Struthio camelus: one gene and its partners. The main gene of each other region encodes a partner of the protein of the gene in region 3 in a complex. Links are inferred from orthologs where the notes say so. Each region holds a gene or a part of one and is shown on either strand. Other genes may lie near its edges. The genes, in order: CAPRIN1, ELAVL4 and G3BP1.

The links.
Region 1: the proteins of G3BP1 (region 3) and CAPRIN1 are in contact, whole or in part, in a crystal structure (PDB 8TH7), measured with the Homo sapiens proteins. The link is inferred for Struthio camelus from reciprocal best matches to the Homo sapiens genes G3BP1 and CAPRIN1. Residues at the interface, in NP_005745.1 of Homo sapiens: Glu4, Lys5, Pro6, Ser7, Leu10, Val11, Glu14, Phe15, Arg17, Gln18, Thr21, Leu22, Met29, His31, Arg32, Phe33, Tyr34, Gly35, Lys36, Gln58, Lys59, His62, Leu114, Glu117, Asn122, Lys123, Phe124, Tyr125; in NP_005889.3 of Homo sapiens: Met363, Gln365, Met366, Gln367, Gly368, Pro369, Tyr370, Asn371, Phe372, Ile373, Gln374, Asp375, Ser376, Met377, Leu378.
Region 2: G3BP1 (region 3) and ELAVL4 share a complex: the UniProt entries of both Homo sapiens proteins name them as parts of the TAU mRNP complex. The link is inferred for Struthio camelus from reciprocal best matches to the Homo sapiens genes G3BP1 and ELAVL4.

What each region holds. Positions count from the first base shown.
Region 1 is NC_090946.1:33,683,785-33,691,264, reverse strand, and holds the start of CAPRIN1 (caprin-1), read right to left. Parts: upstream 3,029-7,480; 5' UTR 2,707-3,028; intron 2,407-2,706; 5' UTR 2,402-2,406; coding exon 2,186-2,401; intron 2,046-2,185; exon of another isoform or gene 1,768-2,045; intron 1-1,767. UniProt on the Homo sapiens protein: mRNA-binding protein that acts as a regulator of mRNAs transport, translation and/or stability, and which is involved in neurogenesis, synaptic plasticity in neurons and cell proliferation and migration in multiple cell types.
Region 2 is NC_090949.1:30,524,820-30,532,704, forward strand, and holds the start of ELAVL4 (ELAV-like protein 4), read left to right. Parts: upstream 1-4,858; 5' UTR 4,859-4,873; coding exon 4,874-4,990; intron 4,991-7,386; exon of another isoform or gene 7,387-7,578; coding exon of another isoform or gene 7,579-7,587; intron 7,588-7,885. UniProt on the Homo sapiens protein: RNA-binding protein that is involved in the post-transcriptional regulation of mRNAs. Plays a role in the regulation of mRNA stability, alternative splicing and translation.
Region 3 is NC_090954.1:13,100,309-13,107,949, reverse strand, and holds the start of G3BP1 (ras GTPase-activating protein-binding protein 1), read left to right. Parts: upstream 1-4,571; 5' UTR 4,572-5,047; intron 5,048-7,641. UniProt on the Homo sapiens protein: Protein involved in various processes, such as stress granule formation and innate immunity. Plays an essential role in stress granule formation.

The DNA of each region.
Region 1 (7,480 bases), on a different chromosome or scaffold from region 3:
CACTTCATTCCCTGTATTCACTTGCTATGACATCATAATTATAAAAAGCAGTGACAGCAGCCACAGACACATAACTAAAAAAAAACTAGGGCTTTCATGAGACAAACACACCCCTAATCTTCACCCTGTTCTGTCAGAAAATAATAGCCTTCCATACATCCTTCCATCTTAAGATACTTCACATAGAAGTTGACCAAAAAGTCCATTCAAAAAGAATGAAATGGCTCAGCCAGGTATAAATTAGGTGTAAATTATTTATTTTTAAAGGTAAATAAAAATGCTACTAGAAAGGAAAGCTGACCCACACACCAATGAAACTGTGCTTATCCGCTTTATTTCTTCCAAGTACAGAATAGATCAGAAGACTTTTCACCTTCCAATTTTAATTTTCAAAACATACATTTTGAGCATCCTAGAAAGCTATTTCTGGAGGATTTTTCTATACATTAGACATGACACTCATTTTGAACCTTTCACACCATTTTATTTTATCCAAAGCACTTAGGGGACATATTAAAAGATTTTTGCATTCCTTCTCAACTTGAGGATCAGTATTTTTGTGTGTGTGAATGTATGCATATTTTAATAATGAGTTTAAGACAGTCATCTATATGCACCTATATGTACTCAGACCAGGACAAGAACCTATAACTCCAAAACTTAAAGTCCCTGGCTTGTCCTTTTGGTTTTGCTTGGAAAAAAAAAAATCCACTATCCATTTTTTAAGTGGGAAACCACATTGCACACACATTTACAGATACAAAGCAACACCCAGCTTGCTTCATTTGTAACTCAGCTATACTGCCTAACTCACTGCTGATATTTCTGCCTCCTAAAACACAGGACACTAGCCTAGACTACCGCTGCTTAAAGTGCTAGTTTAGAAAAAGGCCAAATTCATAAATAAGAAAAACTGTAAAAGGGCAGTGAAGTGGAAAAAACAGATTTAGGACCTCAATACAGATATGAGGTTATTTTTAACACTCCCAAATTTTAGCTTATTAACATACCAGCTTGAAATAAGACTGTAGGTAACACGTATTTTAGTGTTTAACTCCGATGGACACTCTGTGCTCTGTGGGCTAGAAACCCTTCTGTGGCTCGAACAACACCGAGCTAGAGCGGGGGCCGTATACACCGAAAGTAACCACAGCACCCTTTTTCCCTGCTGTCACAGCTCGAACCCTCTGAGGACCACGGATCTGGTCGCTGCTGTACCTATAAATAACTCCCTGAGGACAGCTTCCCGCTGAGCTGAGACTCCCGAGGGGGCGCGCGTAGCCGCAGTGAAACCCCGCGGTGGGGCGCGGCGGGGTGGCCGGCGGCCCCCGGCTTTGTGCCGGCTGCTCGCACAATGCAGTTCCGCCGGCGGGGCCGAGGCTCTGCCTCTCGCCGCCGCCATGTTAGTGCGGCTTCCATGTGCCCGGGCGGGGAGGCCGCCCGGCGCGCCACAGCCCCCCACCCCCACGCCGCGCGGCGGGGCCGGTGCGGGGCAGCGGGAGGCCGCCGGGAGGGGCGGGGAGGGGGGGGAAATCGCGGGCCAAACGCAGCGGCCGGCCGGGAGCGCAGCTCGGCCGGGCCCCGCCGCCCGAGGGGAACAAAAGGCGGAAGGCGGCGGAGTGTGGGGGGGGGGAAGCCGCGTCTCGGAGGGTCTCGCCGGGACACGGGCCACGCGGCGGGAGGGGGCGGCAGCCGCGACCCCTCCGGCCCTGCCGGCTGCCGGCAGCGCGTGGCAGAGGGCGGGGGCGCGCCGGGGGCGCTCCGCGGGGCCGCGCAGCAGGGGCGGCCGGCCCGGGGGGCAGGGGGACCCCGGCAGGGGATCGGCAGGCAGAGCCGCTCGCCCTTCTGGAACCTTCCAGCGGGCGGCCCCTGGGGGCGACGCCGGGAACAACGCGAGCAGGCCGCCGGCTCCTCACCCCAGCCAACGCGGCCGGCACGGCACGGCACGGCACGGCTGAGGAACTGCCCTGCCGGCCGGCGCATCGCCGGCACAGGCGAGACAGAAGGGAACAGGATGGGATGGGATGTTTCCCCGTCGCTCCGAGGTAGCCCACCGCCAGGGCAACCATCACCAGAAGGCGGAAGCTCCCGGGGGGAGGGGGAGGTGAGACGGGCGGGGAGGAGCGGGGCCGCGGGGCCCGAGACCCACCCCGGGGTGGGGGGGCGGGGGGGCAGAGAGCAGCACCTTTTTTTTCTCCAGGTTGCGCAGCTTTTTGTCGATCACTCCCAGGATCTGCTTCATGGCCTCGGTCTGCACCGAGGTGATGCTGCCGCCCGATGCTGGCGGGGCGGCGGCGGCGGCGGCTGCTGCTGCTGCTGCCGCCGCCGCCGGGGCAGCCTCGCTGCCCGGCACCGCTTTCCCGCTGTTGCTGGCCATAGTGCTATTAGTAGCCGAGGGCATCTCTGCTAGAGAGAGAGAGAGCGCGTTACGGGGGAACGGGCCGCCGGCGGGGACACGCGGGCGGGCGCGCACTCGGCGGCTTCCCCACGCCTAGGGCGCGCGCGCCAGCCGCACCTGCCGGCGCGCGCCCCGCCGCCCCCCTCCCCCCGCCCATTGAGCCGGCCGCCGCCGGGCGCGCGCAGGGCGGTCACGTGACGGGCCGCCTCGCGGCTCCCCCCCCCGAGCCAACGGTCATCGCCCGAGCTCGCCCTCCTCCCCCCCCCCGCCCCCCGCCGGTGTCCGCACGGCCTCGCCACTCCCCTCACCGTGTGCGCGAGTGGCCCGGGGGAGGGGGGGGAACTCAGTGCGCTGCGCTCTCGCTACAGGAATGGCCGCCTCAGCCGACTCGGGCCCCGCCGCCTGCGCTGCTCCTGCTACCTCCGCACCGAGCGACTGAGGGGAGGGAGCGAGAGCGCGCACGCGAGCGCGTAAGGCAGGCGGCGCGGGAGCGAGCAGCGCGGGGTCCTCGCCGCCCGGGAGTGCCCGCGGAGAACGCCTGAGCCCGCCCGCCCGCTCCGGCGCTCGGCCGTGCCCAGGCGGAGGAGGCGCTTGCCCGCAGCCGGCCTGCCCTTCGGCTTGCCGCCCGCGGGTCCTTCAGGCGCGCGCCGGGCGCCTACGCGCGAGACACAATAGCGAGGCGGGGCGGCCCGCCGCCATCAGAGGGGCCGCGGAGCCCGGGCCCCGCGGCGGCCGTTGTGCGCGGAGCCGCGGCCCTGGCTGGCGAGGCGGAGGCAGAGGCCGGCCGCCCCCCTCGCGCGGTCCTGTCCCGCGGCGCCCGCTGACACACCGGCGGCGTCGGCGTGCGTGGGGCAGCCCCTGCCCCAGGCGGGGGTCGCGCAGGCCGGCGGCCTGCCCGGGGAAGGGCCCCTCGGCCGTCCGCCGCTCCCGCCTCGCCGTGGGCGACTCCCAGCCTCAGCCCTGCTCCCGAGCCCGCTCTTTGCCTGCTCCTGCCCTTAAGGCACGTCCCTAAAGGCGGGAGGGTTCCCTTGAATGGCGTGTCACAGCTGTCAGGGGGCCTTAATAACCGCATTTCGGTCCCCGAGAGACAGTTGCCCTCGCTCGCCTGTCTTACCAGGCTTCACCTTAACTGTTCCTGCGTTTCTGTGGCCCAAAGCTGTGCAGTGTCCCTGCAACAGCTGTGTGCTGAACCTTCACCTTTAGGCTGACAACTAATAATATCAATTTTTAAAAAGGTACTGATATAGCATCTGTTTTTTTGTGAAGCAAAGGAAAACTTCACATGACCGTTACACCTTCTTTAATGAGGAAATGAAATGCCACTGGCTGTGGCCGGCATGGAGCCAAATAGCATTGAAAATATTTCAGTCCGCTGTCTTTTTGAAATCAATGGGAGAAATACTTTGGCAAGATAAGGCCCCAAAACGTGTTTTTAACCGTTACCTCAACTCTGTTCTTTAAACTCCTTCTTGGCCTTTGTTTTAGACTGTAGTCATAGACCAAGTACAAGCAATTTGTGTTATTTTAATGTATTATTGTTAGAATATGAACTATCATGACGTTCTTTCTTAAGACAAAGCAGTCTCAATTTGAGGAGAAGCCACAGTTGCACCAAGGCGTGCGTCATACCAGCCTGTGCCAAAAATTGTAAGTTTAAATATCCCTTGAGCCTCTCCGCACCTTCAAATTCAAGAGGAAAGTTTTGGTTGCAATACTGGTTAAGATCATATTTTTATCATTTTGTTTTGCTTTAAAGCAGGATCATTCTTTGATCTATCTTGTCAAGGAGCCACACAATCAATTACGTGACACAAGTGAGAGCCGTGTCTTCAACTGAGCCAGCCTAATGGTTCTCCACTGCAGAAAGGAAGAGGACTCATTACCCTTCCTATCGTCACCAGATCCCTTATACACAGTCCTTTCCCTTTCCTTGTTCCCATTCTGATTCTTGTTTCTCCATGAGTTAGCTGCAGTTGATAACCCAGCAGAAAACTGCTTTCTTTGACCTCATGTTCTAGTAGTTAATGTGTGAATGATTAGATTTTTCTTTATTCCATCTGTAAACATTGCTTCTTAAGCTTCTACTTTTCTTTTCATGTATGCTTGCATTTCACATAAGATGACAAAGCACTGAGCTGCTATCAGATTATTTGCTTTCCAAATTGCCTCTTTGCATAGCAGATTATAGGACAAGTGTAATAAATCATCCAACTGCATATATTTCAGTCGAATAAATAAAGTATAAAAAAAGCCATCAAATATTGAAAGTAATTCCTTTTTCACTACTCGCCAGTAATGTTTTGTTCTTGCCATTGTATTTACAAGATTTAATTTTTTATGTAGTTATTTATTTCTTTATAACCCTTACAGAACAGTTGAAATTACCTTCTTCCCAAATCAGACGCAGTTTCTTCATGAACATTTGAAGTATACTGAGGCCTTTTGACCATAAAATGTAATACTTAAATAATATGGTATTGTTTTATCCATTGTTATTTATTTCTACTTTTTCTTGCTTTGCCATTGCAATTCTTTATAAGCTCTGGGAACTCAATGGCTTAAGTACATTTTTCAGCCAAGTCACAGGAGCTTAAAATCGTTTCTACTCAACACTACATTGCTGAAGAACTCGAAAACGGCCATAAAAGTTACAGCAGTGGGAGGACTGGTGACAATGAGTTAAAAAGTCATGTTGGACCACAATAAAGCCCATCTCTTGACCACTAGAGAGATAGTTATCCTTAGTGGGAGGACATACCACTGAATGGCAAGTGTTCATGGTCTCAAAAAAGAAAAAAAAAAACCAACCCCCCCCCCCACCAAGATAAGAATACTGCTCCTGAGATAATTACATGACAGTTATTGCATCAAAACTCTTCATAATTACACCAGATGCCTTTCTGGTTAGTCAAAGATGGAATTGAGACTATTGCTACGCTCAACGTGCTAAAGCATAAGAAAGTATTCTTACACAGAAACTAAAAGTGGAGGACTTCTATATTATACTATTATACTAATAAAATGAACTTATGTTCGATATCAGACTAATAAAGTAACATTTCTGTGTATAACATGGGATAAGCCTTGCTAAATTCATTGAACAATGAGTTACTATATAATGGCAACTTTACCAAAGGCGTCTATCATCATTGTACATAGCATAATCCACTTTTGGTACTAAACTACAGTTAAACCTCTTTGATACCAAATCCCCAAAACTTTCAGTAATCTCTTGGAGTGGCCTGGGAACACCTCATTTTAGGCAGCAAATGTAAGCAGAAGCAGGCCTATCTAGGCCTAGTCTGCATTAACTTTAAAGTTAAAATTTCCGTATCTAAAATTCACTCTGAAAAAAAAAAAAAAAAAAACTTTCATGCAAAAATTGCACTGTGTAGTCAAGCTGAGATTTGTCCTCTTAAAATATATGTAACAGTGAATAGGCCTATAATTTTCAACAGGTCATACTATATTAATCTACATTTTTCATACCATTCCTTGAGGATCAGTGACCTCAAACGTATTATACCTCTGTGCCAACAACACTGATGAACTCCTGATAGAAAAGCCTGCATAAGAATTCCTCACCTTCAAGGGTGAAGGAGTTGAGACTTCATCCTTTTTACTTCAAAGGAAGTGTTGAACCACTTGTTATATAGAGACATTTCCGTGAGCAAGCTTTACTGTGGTAACATCATGCCCTATCGGCAGACCAGTTGGCATGACAAACTTGTAAATAGCACATAGGTCTTTACGTTTCTTTGGGATAAGTATTCCCTTACTTACCTTGTGCAGGATGACCTCCCTGTAGATCATTCAGGCCTCTCCTCCTTTGACCTCTTTTTTTGTTAGCTCGTTGGATGGAATCACACTTCTGCCTAATTATGGTACAAATCAAATCATCTTATTTGTAGGGAGCTGGCTTTGTATTTCATGTTTGCAAACTGTACAAATGAAGATGAAATCTGAAGTTACTGATTTTGGAGTAGCACTTGCTTAGTCACTGCAGAAAGGCAAGGGAGGAGGGAAAAATAAGTCCTACTGAACAGTGAAAGCCTAGGTTGGACTTCCACAAACCTGAACCTTCAGACCACAAAATTGCACAAGGAGGCCTCCACCTCCCTACAAGCAGCATGGAGACAGATATAGGAGACATGTAGATCTGCTCTTTGCTCTCCAGTGAGACTTCTCACATGCTGTCCTTCTCTGGGTTTTCATTTGTCATTATTTTACATCAGCTGTAATTGCAAATTTGGAATACATCTTTTCTGTGTTTCTCAGTTTCCAGCCCTTAGAAACGCTAATGGACAAAACCAGACAGGTGTATTAAAAAACAAAAACAAACAAACAAAAAACCCCTTAACCAACCAGTGGCACAAAAAAAAAAAAAAAGGAGGAGAACGGTCTTACACTTGCTGGTGTACTTCTAATCAGGGCTCAAGTGATAAATAAATATTCTGTAGGGATATAGAGCCTCCTCCGCTGTGCTGCCACCTCAGACAGTTTCCTTGATCCTCCCTTATGTCACTGTAGTTGTTCTCAACACAACCTTCCTAGCCCTTTCTATTTCAGATTCCCCTCATGCACGGAGCTGCTTAGGTAATTTCCACAAACTCAAGACCTGCCCTTCCCCATGAAGATCCTGCACAGAAGTACTAATAGCCCCCTGCTCTGCTGTTTTTCTCCAATAAAAGAAATTCCTCTTGCCCTGTTTCTTGAGAACTACTTCCAAGCAAGAGCGAGGTCTCAGGTTAGTTCCTTGCAAAATCCAAAGACAAGCTGTGTCTCTGCAGCTCCGTCTCATTTGGACCATTCCTGTCAAGACAGTGCTAGTGTCCTGTCTAGGCATAGGTGCCCCTATCTCCCCAAACCTTGTACCCAAGCTCCGTACCTTTCTATCTTCTCATTACCCGCTTCTCCAAGGCGGAAGCCAATCCTATGTCTCCCCATCTTTCCCACCCTGCTTTTATGTACTGTGTTTTCCTAAACCAGCAATTCTGACCCATGCATGGTATGTCGTTTTCTCTCATTATTAGCAAGTCTGCTCCCTATTTGTATGAAGCAACATAATTTTTTATGACTCCT
Region 2 (7,885 bases), on a different chromosome or scaffold from region 3:
TAGAGATGTTGGCCCACCTCCTTGATCGGTCTGTACTCTGACATTCACAGGAAGCCCTTTGCTGAGATGGCAGGCTGTGATCTTATATGAAGAGTAAAGTTCTTGTTTTCTTCTTTTCTTTATTCTCCTTCTAATAGGTAGGCCTAATATTATTGCAAATTTTCCACCTCCTTCTCAGCTCCTGTTTGTTGTCCCCTTCCTCAACACTGCCTGCTCTGCTCCTTTCTCTGGCCCCTCCTCATTTTCTTTTGCTCAATTTGATGCATTTTGGAAAGTGTATGTTGGGGGGAGGGGGGGTGTTAGAGGTCTTGTGCTCTCTTGTGCCCATGCACATTACACAACAGCACAGCTTTTCCAGGTTTTCACTGACTTAGTAGCTGGGTGCATGCCTGTTTCACTGACATGCATGCATGCTTGGAAGCCCAGTTCCCAGTTTTGAAAATGAGCATGTGGGTCATATCACCGAGACTTCTCTCATAATCGAGCTATTTACACCTACTCGTTTTGTTACCTCTGTGCTCTGCTGCGCCCTTGAGAATTTTGTTGCAGTTTCCCAGCATTCAGACATAAGTATCCTCAGTGGGACTTGCAGATGCCCACATCTTTAGAAAATTAGTGTGATACAGCAACTATGAAACATCCAAAATATACATCACGTAAGGCATGGAAAAAAAAAAAATTAGGCAAGCTACATTAAATAGCATATACATATAAAGGCAACTGAATTGTGATTTCTGTGGGAGCTGTAACAACTTGTTTAAATTTCATGTATCTAAATTCATGTTGCATGTATCTAATGCAAGGATTATATGTACATATAGGGGGAATGGGTTGGTCTGGTTTTGCATCAAGTGTCCTTTCGCTCCAGACCTCCTTAGCTTGCTCTCTAACCAGTCTTGGATTTTTCTTTCTGGGCACAGATCAAAAAAGTGACAGGATTTCCAGGCAGATCCATGGCATATTTAGCTTCCCCAGTAACAAGAGGAATCTCAGCATACAAGATAGCATGATACATCAGCAGCAGAGCTTGTACAGCTAGTCAGTGGGGTCTACAGCAGGGAGAGAACGAGAGGCAGGAATGGATTCCTGCATTCCTGAGAGAATCATCAAAAAATAGAAACAAATAAATAAAAGCCACAAACCATATCAGTCATCTTTTCTTTCACCTACTATTTAGTTTTTCCTATGTTTTGTGGACCTTTCTAAACCTTTTTTTAGCATTTGATTATCACTACTATTTTATGCATAGTGTAATCAAATGTAGACTAACCTTAAAAATTTTAATCTCCTTTTTTCCTCAAATATGTGAATTCTCTAATGTTAAAGGGCAGTTGTCTAAAGAACACTTTGTGTCATGCAGTGTTACAGTCTCTATCACCTACTGCTGCTTCATTTGCACAGGCCAGTTGGTAGGATTTTTTTCTTTAAACGTTCAGTAGCTAAATAAACTTATTTATAGATAGTATATAGTAAGCTGTTCAAATAACAGGTAAAAACTTACTGTATGGGTAAATACTCTGTATAGCCATTGTTGTTGTCCTCTCCCTCCTGCCCCCAGCAGGTCCATCTCATCTCCTATGCATACGCGTGCAGTTTGTTTAACAAGGCTGATTGTTCAGGTTTTTTCTCTTTCCTGATGTCTCACTTTGGGTTAGGCATCATGGACAATTTGACCCTAGGTTTTTTTTACCAAAACTGAGGACTTCCAACATCACTTAATTGTACATGAAGCTTTTCAGATTTTCTTGTGGTTGCATAGATGGCTTTGAAATAGTCGGTTCTCCCTGTGTACGTTCATAAGGGGTTTCCATCCCGTTGTATTCACTTTTTCTTCTGGCGCTCTCTTTTAAATTCATGCAGTGGATTTGGCAGTAGTGTAAGTGGTGGATGACGACATTTTAAATTACTATGAGATCCACTGCTGAAAATGCTGCATGTGAGCTCAGTGTTGTTAAAGATAGTGTTGATGTGATATCTTGAACTGGAGACTGTGTTTCTGCAGAGGTTCTTGAATTACTGCACAGGGCAAACCCTAGTGCTTGCATTGTGTAATGTCCTTTCCTAGCCCATTGTTTTCTTTTAAATCATTTTATAGTTCAAATCCATCTTTGTCGCGCGTGTCTCCTTTGTTCCTCATCCGCCTGCACCCTCCCCTATGCCAACAGCAAAATATTCTTTGGTCAGAATTAAATACTAACTTTATGATAGAAGTGTCTTAAAAAAGAATAAACGTAGTTTTAAGCATAAATGTGTAATCCACTGGAAAAGTGAAAATGAAGTGCTGGAAAATGCCAGGCTGTAGTTCATAGGCAGCAGCATTTAAATGGTTTGCTGTAATCATATTAGGATAGAATTAAACTGAATTCTTTATTTTGTACTGCAGTGAAATAGGACTGTTAGTGATCACTTTCTCCTCCCTCTTGCTCTGATGATTAGCGTGAAAACTCGAGCAGCAAAAATTATGGGAGTTCTGCAGCAGTGCACAGAGAAACTGGTGTGAAAGAGTCTGAGTTGAAGTTTTGTGTCCTTGCACATGAGAGCTCTGGTGCTTTCCTAATAGACTGAAAATGAGACTACTGCTGCTTTATAAGAGGTCTGTTCCAGCCACATTGCTCTACAGCTTGGCAGATGGTGGCATGTGAATGGTTTCATATTGATTGGATGGATTTGCCTCAGGGTAAGAGGAGTGTGGGTCCTTAAAGATGTACTTCCAGCCTTTTTTCCTTTTGGTTTGAAAAAAGATGTATATTTATAAAACATTTTTCTTTAAATCAGTGGAATGTGTGGTAATCAAAGCACTGAAGTTACCTGGAAATAAAAAGTCCTTAAATAGATTATCACAAAGACCAGAAAGCCAAGAATACTCATTTATTAAATGATTACATTTTTACATTAGAAGAAAGTGACACTTTTAATTAGGGTTCAAGGCATATGGTGAATGAGGAAATAAGCTTATTTCATGCAAACAGAAATCGATGCAAATAACCTTTCTCCTCATATAAAAAGGGATGACTTGAAACTCAATACATATTCAAGAAGGTTAAGTCATTACTGCATCACTTTAATATTAGTTAAAGGCCAACAAAGAAAATCATTGCTGTGCATATACTTACTCAGCAAGGATTGCTATATGTGAAAGAATTGGGTGATGGTACTTGTAAGTGTTAAACGCGAAGAAACCCCTATTCATATAATGCTTTTATTCCTTAGCCTCAGTATATAACCTCTTGGGTTCTGCCTTAGCATAGGTAGTTGAAAAAGGGCCCTTAATTCTCACAGCCATTCCTGCTAGCCAGTAAAGACAGGCTTTTGTGATCCTCTTTGTTCATTGTTCCTCCTTACACCTCTGTCTGTGCTTTAATCTTGTAAATGTTGTTTTTAATTTCTTCAATGCAAGTGTCCTTTTTACTGTGTTTGTACAGCACCTAACACAAAGTATTCTGATCTAATTCAAGCCTCTGGGTGTTGCTGTAGAGCGATGAGTAAAGAAAAAAATATATATATAGTAATAGGAGTATTCCTTGATGTATTTGACCTTAAATAAGGCAAAAACCATTTCTGAATAGCTTGCAGACATGTGGTGGGGAGGGTTTGATAACTTAGACTTAGGTGCTGTTGAAAACCGTCTTTTTTATATATATATTTTAGACTTGTGCTCTAATGCGTGTAACAGTGATTACATAAATTAATTTAAGCCAAAATACATCAATAGCAATATTTTATCAAGTTGTCTTCAATTTTGCTTGAAGGTATAGTTCATATTTTCTAACAGTCTACCCACATGTGAATTATTTATATGTTGAATTTTATGTTTTCTTGAAACACCATTGTCATGCTGAGCTTGATGTTAATTTTTTCTTCTGCAATAGAGAGCATTTCTATGGGTGTACTTTCTCTGTTAATTACACTTTATTACCTGAATTGATTGGTTTTTTAATCGTTTAGTTCATTTTTGCTGAATGAAACACTCTGGCATAAATTTTAAGGTCCCTTTAAAAAAAAAAAAAAATCACTGGTAAAAGTTAAGTGATTTAGGATTTTTGTTCGGTCTTACTCTAGGGAAGGAAAGGGCACAAAACAGTGCAAAATGTTTTTTTTTTTTTTTTCCCCCCCTGTTTTCCTGCTTGATAAATGGGGGGTGGGGGGGGGGGGAAATTGTGCTGTATATCACAACCAAAAGCTATTCCAAGAAAAATCTTTAAGATGGTTACTTGAATCTGTGTACACTGCCCACCTGGTGGTTATGGAGTGAACTGTTACTTTAAAGAATAGTTTAAACAACAGCCATGTTTGGGGCAGGCTAATCTTGCAAAGAGAGCAGTACATATAACAGGAGTCTACTGTATGATAAGGGGAAAATTCAGCTCACTGACTAGATGTTTTAATGTGCGAACTCTAGGGAAATAACATATTGACTATTCTGTTGTGCGCAAGAAAATTGAAGAACCCTTTGCAGACAGAGGGCTTGCAAAGGATTCTTTCTGTTCCTCTTAACCAAAATCTGTGGCAAGATGTTTGAAATCAGCAGGACGCTTAATGCTGCTTTGTTAAATAATGAGGTAATATTTTGTCACTTTTTCTGGGCAGCATCTGTTTTTTCTCCTTTTTCATATGTTTATGAAGGATTCAGTTTAATCTTACGAAAGTAGGAGATTAAAAAAATCATTCTTCAATTTATTATTTTTTTTTTCCTTTTGATGCTTTTGGAGAATTGGGTTGGCTTTTATTTGCGGTTTCAATCGGCTGCTGTTGCCTAGGACATTATGCCACGTAAGGCTTCTAAACTGCACAGAGTAGGTAGTTATTAACGCTGAATTGGCTTCTGGTATAGTCCATCTGGGCTCTGTATGAGAGAGCTTGCTAGCGGCTACTGATGCTAAGATACCCGCAACCTTTGGGATGTATGCGTGGTGGAGAGGGGCTCAGTGATATGAGATCACTTCTTTTAAGGGAAACTGTCATTAATGAGTCAAGAAACTGCTCATTTATGGTAAGGAGAGGGAGGGGGGGTTGGGGAAACAACCCTGTGATTTCATTTTGATATTGGATTAGCTGTTTAAGACAAGTTTCTTTTTTGTGGGGATGGAAGATTGCATTAAAAATATGCTTTGCTCAGGGGCTTACTGGCTGATTCTGGAGAGGCTATATTGAGAATTTGATGCTTTACAAATGTGTCACAACTGCGATGCAGTGGTCAGTCACTCACCCTGAGAGAGAAATGGTAGTATTGGAAACACGAGAATAAGGTTGACTTTTTCAACAATAGGATTCTGCCTTTGTCTTTACAGAGAGAGGCCTCTGAGGACGTTTGAGCGTTTGTTTTAGCGTTCCTCGGCAGGACTGAATGTGAGGGGTGTTTGGGGGAAAAGTGGTCAGCGTACAAAGTACCTGGATTTATAGACTGTTAAAATAGCTAATTGTTTAGAAGCACAGGGTGCAATTATTGTTTCAGAAAAATGGCTGAATCTTTTGATGTGTATAAGAAATGTATAGCAACAAAGTAGGCTGAAGTTGAAAAGACTTAAAAATAATTTCTCGATTCCTTCTGCAGTGTTATTAACCCCTGAAGAGACCTTAAGTAAAAATTTGCATTACAAATTTAACTTTAATATTCAATGTATATTTGCACAAGAGTCTATGGTAATATACTAGCTCTGTAGCATTTCGATGCCAGTGTATTCACTCTAATAGGTCACTTAGTATTTGAGTTAGGAAATCAATCTTAGTTTAATCTTTTCCAGTTTTTACTAAGCTACAAATGTGCTCAAAAAGATGCATGGTAAGAGAAATCCTCTGCAGCCTTTGAAATTGCTCGTATTTTAATTGAATTCAGTGCTCATTCCACAAATAGGTTGCATGGTGCTTTTAAATGCTTGGTCTTTTCTTTCTTGCTTGGTCTGTTTGTAGCTAGATTTGTACAAGCTTACTATATTTCATATATTTTATTGGTGTGTTTGTGTGTGGGTTTTAGTGTGTCTATGGCTTAAAGAAATTTAAAATGTACTGAATGTCAGTTCTGAGCTTAACAGTTCTTAGAGCATATTTATCCTTCAAAAAAAAAAAAAACTATAGAACAATGATTTTTCTGATTACGTATTTTTGAAAGTGTTTTTAGTGTTTTGTAGCCAGGTTTTGTTTCTCCAGAAGAGCGAAGTGAGCTTATATCATGGCCCATCCTAGCTTTCTCCGTTTTTAGCTCTTAACGTTTAAAAACGCTTGCAGTGATATTGAATCTTTAAAAGCCATATTTAGCTGTTGACTAGAATGATAAAATTAAATGATTCCTATGTATGTTTATGGATTAATACGCGGTCGCTTTAGTTTAGGCGAATGTTAATTCAAGGTTAGTTGCAATTATAGGATGCCATGCCTTGTTAGTTTGGCCAATACACGCTTTCAGAAAAATAGCTCCTCAAGTCAGAAAAGAAATGAATGCATCGTAATTAAAAGAATTTTTAATAAACTTGCTGTGGCTGGGAGATGGGAAAATATTGCTGTTTGAAATTGAAGTTTTGTTAGTTTGTCAGTGGAAGCGAGTGGAGGATTAATGGGTGTTCATTGTTAAGTTAAGCACGTTCCTCTCTAAGGCTGGAAAAAAATTTCTTTCAAATGCCCAGAGTTAGTCATCATTTTATTTCCTGTAAAGTTGGAGAATAACGAAGTGAGGTAGCGAAATAATTCTAAAATACTACTTTCATTCTGTGAGAATGTTCTGATAAATAGATGTCTGCTGTGCTTTAGACAAAGTCAAGTGACAGGAGTATCAAATCTAGTGCTAAAAATATATATAATTTTGAAAACTCTTACCGCTAAAGGAGGCAAGAGTAGTTGATTAATAAAATCAATAGTACCTAAAAATAAATGCAGTTTAAATGCACACTGAAGTGCTTTTGTCGTATCTTTAAGCCTAGAGGCAGATCATTAAATATGCATTTCTCCGGAAAGCAACTGTCTCAAAAGATAAGGTGGTTAAAATACTCTGGACCTCAAAGCCATGCGTGCAAGAGGTAAGAAGATGTAGTCGCTGAAGCATGGCTGAGGTACGACATCTCCACAGCAGAGGCTTACAGACTGTGGATGTGGCCTGCAACTGTTACTGTACTTGTGGGGTGGGAAGAGGTAAAAATACATGTATGTGTGTTGTTTCTTCAACTGGGCCTTAATTACTAGACACAAGCAGCAGTTCAGAAATCTGGTCTCTGTTGTTGTAGAGGTCACCAAATCATTAACATTGTCAATCTGGCGGTAGCTAATTTCAATAGCACCTGATGTTGCAACGCCTCCCTTAGTGTCCCCGGCCAATCGGCGCCCGGCTTCTGCTGACAGATGGTCCCATAAATGGATGTAAAAAGGAGACGCTGCAAGCCAATTTCAGCAAGGCTCTGTTCAGTTGTTCTTATCTACATCCTAGAATCGGGGGGCTTCAGCACAGTGCGCTTTTTTTATTCTTTTGCTGCACAAACGTCTGCACTGTGCTTTGTGGATCTTTAAAAAATAATAATAAAAATAATTCCCTGAAACCTTAGCAAATCTTTAGAAGAGTTGAAGCCTTTCAAGACCCAATATTTGCCATTAAGAATGGTTATGGTAGGTATTAGTAGATTTAAAATCTGCTTATAGCAATTTTATATATATATAGATAGATATAGAATCTAACATATAGATTTCCCCAAATCTGCATCATTCTCAGTCTGTGTTTTCACATGAATTTAGTTTTCTGCTACTGATTTGTTTGTACATTATCTCTCCCTTTTTTCCTCTCCCTTTCTCTCTCCCCTGCTTTCTCTGTCTCTCTCTCTCTCTCTCGCTCTCCCTTTCTTTCATATTTAATGTGTGCGTATCCTTTAATAAAGGATGTACTTTGTCATTTTAAGGTAATTGTGAT
Region 3 (7,641 bases):
CGACTGACCAGCTCTTCCGCCATGGGGACTGGCAGCACCTTCCTGGCCCTGGCATCTCTGCTGGGGCAGGGCCCAGCCAGCACAAAGACCTTGTCCCCACACAGCCCTCAGCCCACACGGATCCCCCCCTTGCCCCACACGGATCCCAGCCCACACGGATCCCTCCTTGCCCCCCCACCCCCCCCACCCACACAGATCTCCCCTTGCCCAACACACCCCCCTGCCTGCATGGATCCTCCCCTTGCCCCACAGGGATCTCCCCCCACACAGATCCCCCCTTGCCTCACACCCCCCCACCCACATAGATGCCCCCTGGCCCCACACAGATCCACTTTGCCCACACACCCCTCAGCCCACACGGATCTCAGCCCACACAGATCCCCCCTTGCCCCAACCCCCCCTGCCCACACGGATCCCCTCCAACCCCACACAGATCCACCTCGCCCCATACCCCCCCCACCCACACGGATCCCCTCCGACCCCACACAGATCCACCTCGCCCCATACCCCCCCCACCCACACGGATCCCCTCCGACCCCACACAGATCCACCTGGCCCCATACCCCCCCCACCCACACGGATCCCCTCCGACCCCACACAGATCCACCTGGCCCCATACCCCCCCCACCCACACGGATCCCCTCCGACCCCACACAGATCCCACCTCGCCCCATACCCCCCCCGCCCACACGGATCCCCTCCGACCCCACACAGATCCACCTCGCCCCATACCCCCCCCACCCACACGGATCCCCTCCGACCCCACACAGATCCACCTCGCCCCATACCCCCCCCACCCACACGGATCCCCCCTGGGCCCCACACGGCTCTCCCAGTCCCCCACTACCCTTCGCCCCGCACCGCCCCAGCCCCGATGCCCGATCCCAGCCAGGCCCAGGCCCAGGCCCAGGCCCAGGCCCACGGCGGGGCCCCCCCGGGGGCGCGGCCCGGCACCCACCGGCATGGCCGAGCGCGGCGGCGGCTCCGGGGCGGCTGGGGCGGAGGAAGGGGCGGGCCGCGCTCCGCGCCGCTCCGCCCCGCGCCGCTCGGCCGGGCCGGGGCCGGCCCTTCCCGGCGGCCTCGCAGGGCCTCCCACCGCCCCGCGCCGCCCTCCAGCCCCCGCCCGGCCTCCCCCAGGCCCGCACAGCCCTCCGACCTCGCACAGCCCTGCCCCAGCCCACAGGACGGCCGCCCTGAACGGCCCACGTCGCCCGCCAGCCCCCCATGGGTCCCCCCATCCCTCTCCCTCCCTACAGGCCTCACAGCCCCACGCAGACCGTGGCCCCGCACGGGCCTCCCCCAGCCCCCCAAAGAGCCCCTGCTCCGTACAGGCCTCCCAGCCTCACACAAACCCCTCACCCCCTCTATGGTAATATATATCAGGGTAATATACACACGCACGCATATAGGTATATATAAAATATATATATATAATTGATATCCCAGCCTCCCCTGCCCTGGGCCTGCCCCCTCCTCTCCCAAGCAGCAGGCGGGCTGGGAGTCAGGGTTGCTTCCCCCTGTTACATGGCAGTTGGGCTGTTACTAGGGACCAGATGGACTCTGGGTTGGTCTGTGGAGCAGCACTGGTATAAACCCAGGCTTATATCCCCCAAGCAGGGACGACCCGGGCCTCACCGTGGGGTAGCTCAATGTTAGCTTAATGTTAATGTTGCACCAGCAAAATCATTCCCATTGCATTCATTTCTAGCTAGTAACCTCCCAGTTCCTGGCATAGCTCCACAAAAAGTGGTTTTCAAAAGATTTTGCAAAGTCATCCAGGGGCCAGTAACTGGGGTTAACTAAACAGAAACACAGGGATAGTAGTGTAATTAAAGAGAGATTGCTACTGTGCTGAGAAGGGGTTACAGCAAAACAGGAGTATCAGAGCTAATGCCTTTTTTTGTACTGGCATGAATTAGTTTAGGCCCTGTTTATCACAAGCCTTACCCAAACTGTATTTGATGCGGGTGTTTGTATGCCATTGGGCCTGTTCTTATACTGACCACAAACTGCTTTTAGTAGTATTTTAGGGACACCTATGTAATTCTTAGCAGAATTGTTTTTCTCTGACAGCACTACAGCTTAACTACAGCCCTGCTCCTGCAGTTATGTTTTTCTTTCTGTTTTTCTTGCACTAAAATATTTTCCCTCCTTCTTAGGAGATGCATTGGAGATGATGTTGGATGAACTCTGCTCGGGGTCATGCTGAAGCAGAACGTCTCTCAGCTGAACAAACTGGCTCAGTTTGCCTGAGGTGGAAGTAAAACTGAGGTAAACTGAAGGCATGAGATGCTCGAAAGGGTTAAAGAGAAAGCAGCTGAGAAAGTTTGTAGTCAATAGGGATCCGTAACAGCTGCTGGGGAATTTCACCACTCTTAGCATAGTGGTATGCCTCTTTGTGATCAAAGGCTAATGATCAGCGCAGAGACAAAGTGGCTGCAGGAGAGAGATGGGAAGAGTCATAAAGGTGGAGCAATAGAGGTGAAGGTTGGCTTGGTTGCTTCACAGAACTGTCTTTGAGGTTTTGAGATGCACTGGAATAGAAGAGCTCTGGTAGACTGGATTATTGAATAAGATTAGGGGTTTGGGGGGGTCTCTGCTTCAAAGTAGGTTGAGTGAAAGGAAGCTGTCCCCTGGGGGTGGGGGGTCTGTGTGTCTACTTGGCCCTTTCAAGGAGAATGGGGTTTTTTGTTAAAAATCTGAGTCGAGGTAGAAGAGGCTGGAACTCGAGGAAGTGAGGGGAAACCTGTGGTGGGACACAGAGGCTGGGATCAGGGTTATTGCAGTTAAGGTGTGTTGGCAGGCTGTAGATTGCCAAGAAAGGAGACCGTGCAGTAGGTCAGAGCTGAGAAAAGCTGGTAGAGCTGTGTAGGGAGGTGTAACACTTGCTAACTGTGTGCTGGGCTTCAATATCTGCCTATTAAGAGGCCTAACTTGTAACTGGAAAAATAACTGGGGTAGGGAGTGTATCTGGTTATCTGTTAGGATAACAACTGTAGCTGCATCTTGGGACTTCAGCTGGCCCTGGCTAACTCTTCCCCTTGCAATGAATTTATAGTGAATATGCTGTGCCCCTGCCAGGAAGACTGGGCAGAAGGGGATGTGAATGGTCTTTCTTAGCAAGCTTCAGTTGCATTAGAGGAAAGAGGGTACTCATTTCTAATGTGTGCAGGACCCTGTTGTTGCACCAACCTTCTTACATGAGAAATGGAATTATCTGAGAGCCTGTCCCCCTGTTATATTGCTGCTGTTTCCAGAGAGACATCTGGGGTCTGACTGGCAGAGAGGTTTTATTTTGGATGGCTGTTGTGCTGGGTCATTGGTCTCATGTTAAGCTTTCCAAAAATCTCTGCTACTGATTTATGAACTGGCAGATTGCAACATGGCTTAGTCTATAAATAGCAGGGGTGTATGTGTGTGGGGGGGAAGGATATTAATGCTGAACATGGCCCAGTGCCAGTCCACTGGCTACATCTCTGCAAGGCATGGCAGGAAGGGTTTAGGCAATGTTCACGGATATGGTGGAGGGAGAGGAGTCATTATTACAGGGTCAAGTATATCTGATTGCTTCATGTCATAGGTATAGTAGGGATAGGAGATGATATAAACAAAGAGGAAAAAATTGGCCTTCCGTGATTTGGCTTGCTCAGGTTGAGTGTCTGCTCCCTTTCCATCCTTATCTCCTCTGGCTCCCTGGACCAGCATCTGCTAGTCCCCAAGCATAGCTCCTGGGAGTGACAAAGGAGCTGTGAACTTTAAGAGCTCACTCCTCCTTTGCAGGATTTCTTGGGCCTTGCATAGTGGGTTGGAAAATTCCCAACTTGACTTGTTCTTCTGGGACAGATGACCTGTCTACTTTGGTCAAAACTTGTGAAGGAGGAGCAGCTGAATGAATTCCTCTGCTCTGGGGTCCCTTGAGGGTGAGCAGAAGAAGTAAGCCCATGTTTTCCTAGCTTGGAGATGGTGATTGCTGTCTTCTCCTTTGTTGTGCGAGTGGACGTGCTGTTTGGGAACCTGTTTCTGGTGACCTCAGTTGTAGTCCTGTGCAGAAAGCTGGAGAAAAGCTCCTTTTACCTGACCCTGCTGGTGGTTTCTAAGTGGGTTAGTTCTACAGGGACTGTCGCCGAGGGCTGTCCTCAGAGCTCTAAGTCCGTATAGCGCTACTGAGGCTAATGGCGCCACAAGGCCGCAATGCTGAGCGCGGGGACTGAGGTGGGCGGCACGGCACGGCCTGCACTGGCCGTGGGGCGACCCTGATGGCTGGCTGTGCTGGGGGGGCCTCGGGGCTGCCGGGGTGATGGGGCTGGTGGTGTGGGGGAGGCCGAGCTGGGGGGCCGGGCAGGTGCCGGGGGAGGCGAGGCGGGGCGGGGTGAGCTTGGACACCTTTGGCCCTCCCCGCCGCCGCCATCTTGAGTGCCGGCCCCGTCCCTCCAGCAGGGGGTGGTGGTTCCGCACTCGCGCGGGCTGCCTGCCCCTTTAAGAATGGCCAGGAGCCGGCCTGTCCGTCAGGGCCCGCTGCGCTCTTCCATTGGCCGCCGCGCTCCGTGCCGCATGGGGTGCCGCCCCTACCTATAACGGGGTTTACCAGCACCTTCTCAAGGGCGCCGCTCTGCGCCTCAACCACACTACCGCGTCAGGCCAGTGCCGCCCCTCGCGCTTATCAGCGCGAGGAGCGTCGTTCTATTGGCTTCTAGGGAAATCCATCAGCTCCCGCCCCACCCTAGCAGCGGGCGCTCCACCTTCCATTGGCTCATCTCGGTGTCGGTCACTCTTACCGCCCTGCGGAGCTGGGCCGCGTGGTTTGTGAAGCGTGCTGCCGCTCAACGGCCCGCCCGCCTTCTTTCCCCACCATGGGCCAACCAGCATCCGAGTGAGAGTGAGCGCCGCTCTTTGATTGGCTGCGCCGCCTGCCACCGGGCTAGGCTGCGCGCCGGATATATGTAGCCGGCCGCTGAGCACGCCGTTGCGTGAGGTGCTTCTCGTCCGCCGGGCAGGGCTGCGGTGAAGCGACGCCTCCCGTTCTCGTCCCGTCCCGCTCCGCCCGCAGGTGAGGAGGAGAGCGAGGGTCCGCGGCCGCGCCGGGGAGAGGGCAGCGGCGGGGTCGACTGCTTCCGGAGACGGTTGCGAACGGCTGGGCCTGGCTCGAGCCGCGCGGCTCGGCGGTAGGCCGCGCGCTTGGGGGGGGGGGAGGGGAGCGGAGGGGTCTCCCCCCACCCCCACCCCTCGTTCTCCCGGCTGCCCCCGCGCCCCGCCGGTCCCGGCCCCGCGCGCAGGGGCCGTCCCGGGCCTGGCCCGGCGGCGCTGTGCGGCGGGCGCCCTTCCCGCCTGCCCCGCAGACGGGCTTCGGCAGCGTCCTTGGGGGTGTCCCGGAGCGGGGAGTCCCCCCACCCCAGGCGGCCGCGCCACAACAGAGTCCTGGCGGCAGCGGGATGCAATGGTGCGCCCGCTCGGAAAGTAGATATTGGGGAAAAAAGAGTGCTAATTTTCGGAGGGGGGGGGTCCCGGGGAGGCACCCACCCGAGCGAGGGGGCTTCATTGTGCGAGCGGAGGTGTAGAGCCGCGAGCTTTGTCTGCGGCTTTGCGGAGTCTGCTCTGCCCCTCCGCTGGGTTGGGGGGAGCCCCCAGACCTGCCGCTGAGCTGGGGTAGGCCCTTTCCGCAGTGGGTTGGCGGTAGGTTGAGGAATAATACTTGGTATTTACACAAGTGTGCCAGTAGGTTAGATTGTAGGTGTGTGTCTCTCTTGCCGCAACTTTACGCGTGGGGGACGGGGGGTCATAACTCAAGCATAAGATGAGCATGTAACTTATTCCTGATATACTTCGTGACCTTGGCTGGATCTGGGATTAAGCCAACGTTTAAATGCAAAGTAGTCCATCTATGAAGACTTTCCAGCTTTTTGTAAGGCCCTAGATATGTTTGTCAGGAGAAGGAAAAGGTTTTCATGTATGTGTTTCAGGTACGTTTTAGTCTGAATGTGTGTGATATAAGGTGTTATTAGTACCTGGTGGCCTTTTATGTTAAGGGTTGCACATAGTAAGTATTCCTTCCAAAGAAAATGATTTTTTCACAATGGGTTAAAAGCAGCATTTGCAGCAAGCCGCCATGTTTCCAGCGTATGCTATTTTTGTCTAGCCCGTGCTCTCACAAGCAGAAGTGACAGCTTTAGGAAATGTGGACGCTGCTATCAAGCTCTGAAAGCTAACACTTCCAGGTGCCGTAAATCAAACTTGGTGTGCATGCTGGATTGTTTTCAACTACCAAGACTTTTTAGAATGGCATTCCAAAGAAAAGCGAGTGCAGAAGTTGACACACAAACCACACTTCAGTTCTTTTCTGAATCTTTCTTTTGACCAAGTTTTCTATTTTCTTATTCCTCCTCTGTCAAGAATAAACCTAATGAGTTTCCTAAAAGGTAGTTCTATAATACTTGGTGGTAAAATGGTCGCATCTTGTGAAGTGAATTCACCTTTTCCAGAGGTATTTCAGCTCAATGTAGTGGAGCTGTTCTTGCTAAAGGACGGTTTAGTTGAACGTACAGCTTAGAACATACAAGAAAGTGTTTACTTCTTTTTTTTTGGTGGCACGGCAGGCTCAGAAATAGGAACATACAATAAGTATGTAGTGCGAAAACTTTTTTCCTAACTGTGACTATAAAACGTTATTCTTCTGCTCTTCTGTTCATTTGTCACTGTCACAATAGCATCGATTTGAGTTCATCATACAACTGATGATATTCCAGATCAGAAGCTCTTGATTTTAAACATGAGATCTTTAGGCACTTGACCAGACAGCAAGCTCCTCCTTGCAGTCTTAATTTTTGTGTGCTTGCATACAATCTTTCTGGAATGTGCTCCAAAGATTTGTAGACTTGTTATTGCATTTCACACTTCTTATAAAGTCACTCCTGTAAGAGCTAAAGTGTGTTTACGTTTTTGACAAGATGCATCTTAGCTTTGATATACCGCTCATGTTCTGAAGTGGCTGAGCATATATCTATTGGAAGATTGGTTCAGAAAAATCAAACTCTGTTTCTCCTTGCGAATTTTTACAATCACATACAGAGCAACGCTTTTTAATGGAAGTGCATTAATGAAAACAAAGATAGTGTTACTGCATGTACACAGGTATTGTTGCTCATGCAGTAGATACTTCTGAGACAGCATTCACAAAGTTAACAGAAATGACCTGTTGGACAAATTAGAAAATAGATTATTGCAGTTTTTAATATTAGAACCTGAGCTTTTTTTTTTTTACTTTATATAATGAATGGAAAATGAAAGAGAAGAAACCAAGTAGAGCAGTTCTTAGGGTGGTGCTAGCTGTTATGCTGGCTTTAGTCTATTGTACTGAACAAAAGGTGAAAGTTTTTTTTTCCTAGAAGACTGGTGCTTGTTACAGCTGACTACCTAAAGTCTTCAAAGTTGATTTGAAGTAATACATAACTTCTCCTTGCCAGAACTACTAGTAGACTTGATAGTCTTTAGCTACTTCATTGGGGTAATAAAAAAAAAAAAAAAAAACTCAAATTATTTTTAAAGACTGTCTACTAATTTTTTAGGCAGTGAACATTATACTTGTCAGAGGTCCTAGTTTTGCTATATTAAGTCTGGACCTCTTCCAGAAAGACATAGCTGGGGGAG